Nothobranchius furzeri: one gene and its partner. The protein of the gene in region 2 interacts with the protein of the main gene of each other region in a biochemical or structural test. Links are inferred from orthologs where the notes say so. Each region holds a gene or a part of one and is shown on either strand. Other genes may lie near its edges. The genes, in order: calpain-2 catalytic subunit and atxn3.

Region 1 (4,402 bases), on a different chromosome or scaffold from region 2:
AGATGCTGTGTTGCAGGAGGAGGTCTCACTCTGCAGCCAAAAATCCTCCAACAACTGAAAACAAACTTTAGCACAAAGTTCCACAGAGAGGGAGTCAGATGTCTGATGTGGGTTCTGTCGGCATGACGATGAGTCACAGCACTTGCAAGGGCGTGTGTGTGTGTGTGTGTGTGTGTGTGAGAGAGAGAGAGAGAGAGAGAGAGAGGGTGTTTCCTCTCTCTCTCTCTCTCTCTAGCAGACGCTTTTTCCAAAGCGACTTACAAGTGATAATCGGCATGTTGCCCTTGAGGCTAACAATAACAACAACAACTTGACATCAGTAATGGAGAGGAAGGAACAAGGAGTGGACGGTAGAGGGGGGACGGGTGCAGGGAGGGTGCTAGTTTAGAAGATGCTCTCTGAAGAGCAGGGTCTTCAGGAGTCTCTCTCTCATCCCCTAACAATAGCTGCAGGCCCCTTCCTGCTGTTCCTTCCTGACAGCCAATCAGAGTGCAGCATGGCAGCGCCCTCTAATTACAGCTGATCCTAGTTCAGCTGCTTCGTCTTAAAACTGTGAAAAAAAAAACTATGAACTGAGTCATGAAACACCCACACACGAACAGCGTGAGTCAGGGAGGGCCTGGCCCAACAGCGAAACACGCACGCACGCACACGCGCACACACACACACACACACACACACACACACACACACACACACACACACACGTGTGTGTTTTAGAGAGAGACAGACAGGACAGCAGCAGGGACATCTGATCCTAGATCAGGTCTTTAGACTCTACCTGGGTGGGTGTATGATGAACAAACCAGGTTTATGAGCCTGGAACTGGTTTATGAAGTTATCCAACCGGTCTGTTTGGGTTTTTCTAAACTGGTTCTGATGATGTATGGATTCTAAACCATGCTGGATCACAAACAGCACTGCTGATCGTCCCTCACGTCTCCTTTCTAATGCTGGACCTGGTGTACCGTCTGCTGTTCGTCGACCCAAATGGACTCAGGTCCCTCTGGGCTGTCTGAACCAGTTCCAGGCCCTGGTGCAGTTATACTGGGACTGACTGAAGCTAGATCTCAGTTCGGATCAAAACTAGATGACTGATTTAACTCTGTGACCTCTGACCTCACCTGTGACCTGACTCTGTGCTGCATTCAGAGACAACCAGGAGAAAACACTCACCCAGAGCCCCCTGACAGATGTCTGTCCGTGTGGCTCCACCCACAATAAACTCCGGTTTGGAGACCAATTCCTAAAGAAGGAGAGAAAGGAAGACTGGTTACCATGACAACTGCTGATTCCCATCAGGTTACACCCGTAGAAGCTGAAACTCAAAAACGTCAGGCCCGTGTGGTGTTGTGGGTCTTTTCCACCAGAACAGAGTCAACTCATCTCAGTGGCTTGAAGCCGTTCCCACCAGGTTCCTGGCCGTTTTATTCAGGCATTCTCACATTCTCACACTGCCGGTGATGTTAAGCTACCACGTAGCCACAGCCTCCCCGGAGCGGCGCTCCAAGTCGACACATAAAAGGGAAGTCGGAGACTGCTGGTCACCGACTGACCGGCAGGGAGGGGTCACTAGTCGCTTCAGAGTTTTCCGCTTGCTTCCCGCAGCGCTTTCTGGGATCAGTCTGATAAAAGAAACCAGACACTGAGCGGAACGCTCAACATCACCATCATGTCCGCCGTTGTTGTGTTTTCCACCGGATCAGATGCAGGCGCCTCCGACCCGGTAGAGCCGTTTCTCACCTGTAATTAAGAAACCACTCAAACTGGTTCAGTTAAGCCAGGCGGACTAGTGGAGATGCAGCATGAGTCAACTCTCGACCTTTGACCCGTGCTCTTTGTCAACTCTCGACCTTTGACCCGTGCTCTTTGATTTTTGTTCTGTCAGGATGGCTGAACCACAGCGGCTGGTTCAGTTCAGAAACATGAATGGACTCATCTCCAAGTCCTTCAAACCCCGTTAGAATGGTCCGGTGGGACCAGAACTGGGTTTCGGGGTCATTTGTTGATGGGCCAGCTCTTCCTGGTAGGGTGTGGACCCTGTGTGAGCTCTAGAAGCAAAGGGGAGAAAAAGCCTGACAGGTATGAGGTAGGCCACCAGGTTTTCTGAGGGGGAGGTGGGGGGGCTGACCCCACCTGGATCAGAACCTTCAAGTTAGCGTTAGAGATGCAAGAGAGCGACCCTGGGCCTTCAGCAGAGAGGGGCTGCACACCAGCAGCAGCCACACCCACCCCTCTCCCGGTTCCGGCTCGGTTCTTACCGTGGGTCTCTTCCAGGTCACTCCGCGGGTCTTGTAGGAGCTGCTGCCCAGTTCTTTGAAGCCCAGAGATTCGGGTGCGGCGGGGAACATCGGGTCGGAGAAGAGCTGCCCGTTGTCCAGGCACTGGGCTCGCAGGGCCTCGAAGTTCTGGTTCAGGTACCGAACCGCGTTGGCGTTGGTACCGAACCCGGCAGCCATGGCCCGCTTCTTGGCCAGAGTTGACGCCACGCCGGACATGATCTCGCAGAGGTTCCGATCGGAGAGAAAGTCTGAAGTTTGGGAAAAGTTTTGTGTCGAAGTACCGAGCTGCAGTCAGACCTCCGCCCTGGAGAGGAGGAGGAAGAGGAGGGAGGAGGGGCCTCCGAACTGGTACCTCTCCATGGAAACCAGCTGTGCGTCAAAGGCTGCAGCTGTGAGCGCAGCGCGTGCGTGCGAGCGCACCGAGGTCCAGACCCGGGTAGCGCGCAAGGCTGTGCGCACCGCGGTTCGTCCAATCAGTCCACTTCTCTCTCTCTTCCACGCGTGCGCGCACACACTCACCTGCTTCCTCAGATTAAAACCGCTATCTCTGATAGTTAAAATAAATAATTTATGTTTAAAATCACTTCATCCTCGCTGCTGTCTCCACCAGGGTAGGGGCTTCCTGGACAGCTCTCCTGTCCATCACAGGGACACACACCTTAGAGTCTCCATGTAACCTAACATGCACGTTTTGGTCTGTGGGAGGAACACATGCCCACAACCGGGATTCAAACCTGCAACTTCCTGTTCTCTAATTGCCCCTCTGGATCAGAACCCGTCCTCCTCCCATCTAAATCACTTTTAAGTCTTTTCTCTGACATTCACATGCAGGACAATCAGGCCACAGCAGAGGGGGCGGAGCTAAATGAGTGATGCAGTGCCTGAATTAATCATTCAGATTAAATGTGAAAGGCAGAAGTAGACCTGAGTTCTGCTCTGATGCAGGTAACATCAGTATATGGACCATATGGACCAGCAGTTCTGAGCTCGGGTCAGTCAGGTGATCTGAACAACCTGCAGGATCATCAGGTGGTCTCAGCAGGACTGAGGTCAGAGTTTTTCCCACCTGCAGCCATCACTCAGGGATTGGCAGCAACGTGCAAGACCAGTGTGTCACATGGTCATTTTGCTGGAGGTCCCTCACCACACCTCTACCTTCTCACAAGGCTCTTATTGTGAAAAAACAAACAATAACACAGCTTTTATTGTGAAAGTCCACTCCTATACCAGCTCTGTTACTTTGGCGGTGCTTGCGATCAGTAGAAGTGAAGATTTCAGAAGGTTCTGATCCAAAGTCTGGCTTAGTTTCTCCTGAAACTAGTCTACCGGAAGACGGCAGTGGGGAGCTAGACCTGGTGGACAACGACCAGGTGAGTTCAACCAGAACCAGGTCCGGTTCCAGAGAACCAGACTGGTGTTCTACCAGAACTAGGACACAGACGACTCTGAGACCATAGGTCAGGTTCTGCTGGGATGAGGATGGTAGTGGATGAAGCTGATGAGACCCGTTAGTCTAGAGGGGTTTTCTCCACATGACCTTTGAACTGTGTGTGCACGCAGGTCGTTTATTTACATACAAACTGCTGTAAACAATAACTAATGAATCAACAAGGAACAAATGTGTCACTTTATTTCTTCTAAAACAAAGAAATCAAGTCTGCAGTGGGCGGGGCCACACTGACATCACAATTACATCATCGTATTTTCTGACGGGCAATGTGTTCAGCCCACCTCAGGGCCTCAGTAATGTCATTGCTGATTCCTGTTCCCTTGGCAACTACAGCAGAGCCACCAGCCCGCCCCCCAAAATGGCCACACACTTCCATCGCCCAATCAGAGGCAGCGAGGGCCGTCGAGTCCTGCCAGGAGAAGGAAGAACCAATCAGAACATTTCATTTTTATCCATTTACCAAGAAGTTAACAGATTACGTTTGATTCTTAATCTAATTCCTTCCAAGTGTTCCTTATAGGACAGAGAGGAGTCAAGCTGGACATCCGGAAGTTTGTATGTGTGTGTGTGTGTGTGTGTGTGTGTGTGTGTGTGTGTGTGTGAACGAGTGAGTGAAAGAGACAGACTGGAGCTGCTGGTGGTAGTGTCCCACCAGTTACCATGTTTACAT
Region 2 (4,344 bases):
AAAGAACTATTGTGCAATAAAACAAAATGACTGACTGAAACTGTGTTTTAATTACTTGTGTGTTGCACGAAAAACCGCTACAAAATCAGGAGGCTTTGTTGTTTTCCGTAAAGCTTTAATCTAAACGTTGGTCTCATATTGCTTCTGTTGAACGCCTTTTCGTTTTACCTCTCAGCAAGTAAGGACATAACTTCCACGTGTTTAAGAAAAGAAACACAAAACCAGGATATAAAACTGTACGATAGAAATAGAAGGCGCCATGGTAAAAAGGCAAATTGCAAACTTGGATTAAACTGCATCGTGAGTCTTCTCCGGTCCAGTGGCCGTGCTTTCTAAAAGATTCAGATGAGAAAGTGCTGCCTTTTCTTTGTCGTTCTTCTCTTCCTCAGTCAGTGACTAACGAGGCGGGAAGGGGGCGGGGGAGTAACCACGTGTCAGCCTTCTGACTGCCCTTATGTTTGCATTTGCAAAAGGTTAGAAGAAGGAGCAAAGCCACCCCTGAGAGGGGAGTTGAATCCAGGCTGCAGGTAAACAACACGGACAAAACTTTCACCACTTTATTGGATGGGAGCTTGTTGTTGGTCCTCCTCAGAGCCAGTGTTTACTGATCCTGGTGGAAATAAGAGCCACAGGTTAAACGAGTCATCAAGTCACATGACTTCTGAACTAAGTTAGATTTAATCACCTGGATCAGCCGCTGAATGTTTGTCTGCTTGTTGAGGAATGCTTGGCTGAGCTTGTTGCTGCCTATAAACACAGAAACATCTGTTTTCTAAGTGGGCAGAGCTCGTTTAGGGATTTAAACAGTCGTTGTAGATCTTACCGATCGAAGTAGGCTCGTCTCCTCTTCCTCAGCTCTTCGGCTGTAAGCGTCTCGTTTTGGCCTTCTTTTTGTTCTCCTGTAGTGCTCTCTGCTGCCTGCCCTCCAGATTTTACACCCTCCCCTTCACTGTCTGACATCCTGTTGCTCATCACTGCTCCTGCAGAAAGACAAATGCAAATAGTTAATTTTACAAACTAATGTTTAGAAGTTTAATACAAGTTTCAAACAGTTTTAAAACCTTCACATGGCACACAATTGACCTTGCATGCTGAGCTGTATGGCTCTGCGTAGATCAGCATCTTCATCTTCCACATCCATGTCCTGTCTACTGAGCGCCAGAGCTCTCTTCAGTTCTTCATCTTCACCCACAGACTCATCCTCAACACCAAAAACCACCTCTGTCTGGCTCAGAGCAGCCGACCTTCTGCTTACAGCAAAACGCACGAATCAGACGAGTTAAACAAACCAGAACCCTTGTGAACAAAATGACACACACCCCGCACTCGTCTGCGCTTCCTCCTCTCCGATGAGCCTTGGCCGCTGCTGCTGATGGACCCTCATGATCCCAAGAATCTGCTCTGCCTCACACTCAGGGAGATTCCCTCGGATCACAAATATGGAATACCCTGCAAAAAAAAAAAAGAACTAATTTAATCATCTTTTCTCCAGTTCAACCTCTAAATGTACAGTTTCTGATGCTACCTTCTTGTTGTAGCTGTGCAAGGAAAAGTGCTAAATATGTGTCTGATATCAACTCTGGTCCTGTCAACAGTGAATTCAGGTTAAACCACTGCAAAGGAAACAGAGAATTTTAGTGAATCAAGCTGCTATAAGACAAGTATGACTAGGTAAGTGAGTGAGTGCCACACACCTGTTGTCCAAGTTTGCGTATAGTAAACCAGTGCTCCTTATAATTGCAAATGAAGGCTTTCTCATTTCTGAAACACAAAGTAAGCATCAGCTTAAAGAAATGAGAGATCAGGATCTTCTATCATAATGTTTCCACATTAAAACCTTACACTGGGTTTATCATTAGGCTCTGGTACTCTCGACTATTAAAGAGGAGTAGCTCCAAGCCCCAGACTCGAAGAGCATTGCTAATCACCTTGAAAATATTGAAACAAGAGTGATATTACAGAAGAGGACATGGATTTTAGAAGCAATAAAAAGATAATTGTAAACTCACTTGTATTGAAAAGAACCCACTATCATCCATGTTCCCAGAGGGTTGCTTTAAACACATTTTCGAAAGAAAAACATGAATAAAATTACATTTTTGATAACATTTTGTACCAATATGTACCCTCTGTCTCATAACACCTGTAAAAAGGTCCTGTACTCCTCACTAGCCATTCCCCCCTCTGCCATCCTCATCCTCTCCTCTTCATCAAGCTGATGAGCGATAGAGGACAGGTCCACAGGAGTGAAATACTCGCCCTGCAGAAGGTTGTTGAGGCAGTGCTGGGCACAGAGGGAGCCCTCTTGCTGCAAACAAAGGATCAGGAATGTAACAAGCATCCAGCATCAGCTGGACTTCTGGAATAAAGATGCTCAACCAAAACAAACACATGTAGCAGCTAGCCCAACGAGGACCCAGCCAAGCAGAGAGCGATTAACTAACAAGAAAACAAAACCCCTACATGACGCCAGGAATAGTTATCATGTTAAAAATCTAACTTTTCACATTCTCTGACTAGCAAGTGAATTAGCGTATTAGCAGTTTGTACAACAACTCCATCACAAACGCCTCGATAGCGGCTACTTAACTGGTAAAACTATTCAGCAGATCGAGCACCGACACCGCTTAATCAAAAATCAGTAAATATAATCAGGTAAATTCGTGTTATAAAATGTTTAAACCTACTTTCTCATGAAATATGGAGTCCATATTCAGCTTTCTGTCAAACGTTCAACTCTCTAACCCCCGCCCCTCACTCGCCCTATCGAGAGGAGACGCCCCCTAGCGGGCGGGCGTGCGCGCGGCACAGTGCTGGACGCCTCTACTTACGGCAAATGGAATATGGCGGACAGTGAGAATTCCATGAACAGGCTGGAGCTGAGTCAGGTATGATGTTCTCTCAGCTAATTCCGTTGACAGCGCTTTCTGAGAGTTTGTGGCAAAACGACGGAGTTTAAAATAAAAAAAAAATCATGTGTAATAAGGTTTTACTGCATTATGGTAGAAGGTTGTTCTTGCCAGGCTAATAATAGTCGTAGCCGCCAAGGCTAACTAGCATTAGAGAGGCATCACGCTGTTTATTACGGATAAACCGACTTTATTTTTACTTCTTTTCGGGATAAATTTAGTCTTTTTCCATGAGAAATGATGTAAGTGTTTGTCTTTCCCCTCTGTGCTTACACATGACATTTAAAATGCTTAGCCTGAGGTCCTGAATGCCTTTTCCGTTTATTTACAGTGAAAGTAAACTAGTCTACTGTTACTGTGTTGTTATTCATATTTAGGTTTACCTGTTCAGATATTTTCGCCTCCCAAACACCAACATAATCACGCATTTTTAAACGTCCTAATGTAGTTACAGCCTTTGTGTTTTATTATTGAGAAATCCGTCTAATGTGGTTTTTGTTTTAGTTTCGTATAAAATAAATTATTTCAGTTTTATTTTCAAAACCGAAATATAATTTTTGTATAATTTTACTTGCTTCATCCAATCCATTGTATTATTTTCAAGGTGTTCAGTTGGTACACAAAAACATATTTGTTCTGATGATGCATATTTATGTAAGTGAACCTAAACAGACTCCTGGCGTGGATGTACCATACACTCACCAGTTTGTTTAGCAGGTAAACCAGTTCAGATGCTTATTAACACAAACAGCCAATCAGGTGGTAGCATTTAGACATGTGGACATGATGAAGTTTTGTCTGATTATCTGGGGAAGAAAGGGGATTTCAGTGGTAATGAATGTGGTTTTGTGCTGGTGCCAGGCAGGCTGGTCTGAGTGTTGCAGTTTTCATCATGATATTAGCAAAAGGTTGCATCTCAACTTCAGCTGCAACATTCATAAATGTTAGGTTAGACTTTGATGTTAACAACTTGAAAACATGGATCCATCTTAACGGTTCAGGCTGCTGGTGGTGATGTAATGGTCTGGGCCCGTACCTGATTATTGTTGGCGATAGTGTCCATACTTGTGTTTCCACACTGGACCCATGCTCTGACGGCTACATCCAGCAGGATAATACTACAAAGCTCTAATCATCTCAAAATGATGTTTTATTCAAGCCGCTACAGTCACTACATCTGAATCGAATTAATCACATTTTAGAAGAGGAGACTCACATCACATGTTTTCAGGTGACAGATCTGCATGAACTGCTTGATAATCCTATTATCTAAATATAGACCAACATCTTTGTATTAGGTTTCCAGTGACAAAAGGCAGTTTTGAAGCAAAGGTTTACTAAGGTGTAGGGATGTCCCGTTCCGATATCGATATCGGCCCAAAAACAATGTATCGGATTATATCGAACGGCATTAAAAATCTCTGATGTAAGCGGT

What was found.
Region 1: of the proteins of atxn3 (region 2) and calpain-2 catalytic subunit, one has a biochemical effect on the other in vitro, tested with the Homo sapiens proteins (2 studies listed by BioGRID). The link is inferred for Nothobranchius furzeri from reciprocal best matches to the Homo sapiens genes ATXN3 and CAPN2.

Annotation. Positions count from the first base shown.
Region 1 is NC_091746.1:29,422,105-29,426,506, reverse strand, and holds the start of calpain-2 catalytic subunit, read right to left. Parts: upstream 3,038-4,402; 5' UTR 2,499-3,037; coding exon 2,262-2,498; intron 1,247-2,261; coding exon 1,177-1,246; intron 1-1,176. Other genes in the region: aars2 (alanine--tRNA ligase, mitochondrial), read right to left, coding at 3,977-4,141. UniProt on the Homo sapiens protein: Calcium-regulated non-lysosomal thiol-protease which catalyzes limited proteolysis of substrates involved in cytoskeletal remodeling and signal transduction. Proteolytically cleaves MYOC at 'Arg-226'.
Region 2 is NC_091758.1:31,655,959-31,660,302, forward strand, and holds atxn3 (ataxin-3), read right to left. Parts: upstream 2,802-4,344; 5' UTR 2,712-2,801; coding exon 2,688-2,711; intron 2,309-2,687; coding exon 2,144-2,308; intron 2,055-2,143; coding exon 2,010-2,054; intron 1,929-2,009; coding exon 1,843-1,928; intron 1,762-1,842; coding exon 1,695-1,761; intron 1,614-1,694; coding exon 1,526-1,613; intron 1,450-1,525; coding exon 1,320-1,449; intron 1,248-1,319; coding exon 1,084-1,247; intron 981-1,083; coding exon 824-980; intron 748-823; coding exon 686-747; intron 611-685; coding exon 558-610; 3' UTR 544-557; downstream 1-543. Other genes in the region: E3 ubiquitin-protein ligase UBR1, read left to right, coding at 2,844-2,888. UniProt on the Homo sapiens protein: Deubiquitinating enzyme involved in protein homeostasis maintenance, transcription, cytoskeleton regulation, myogenesis and degradation of misfolded chaperone substrates.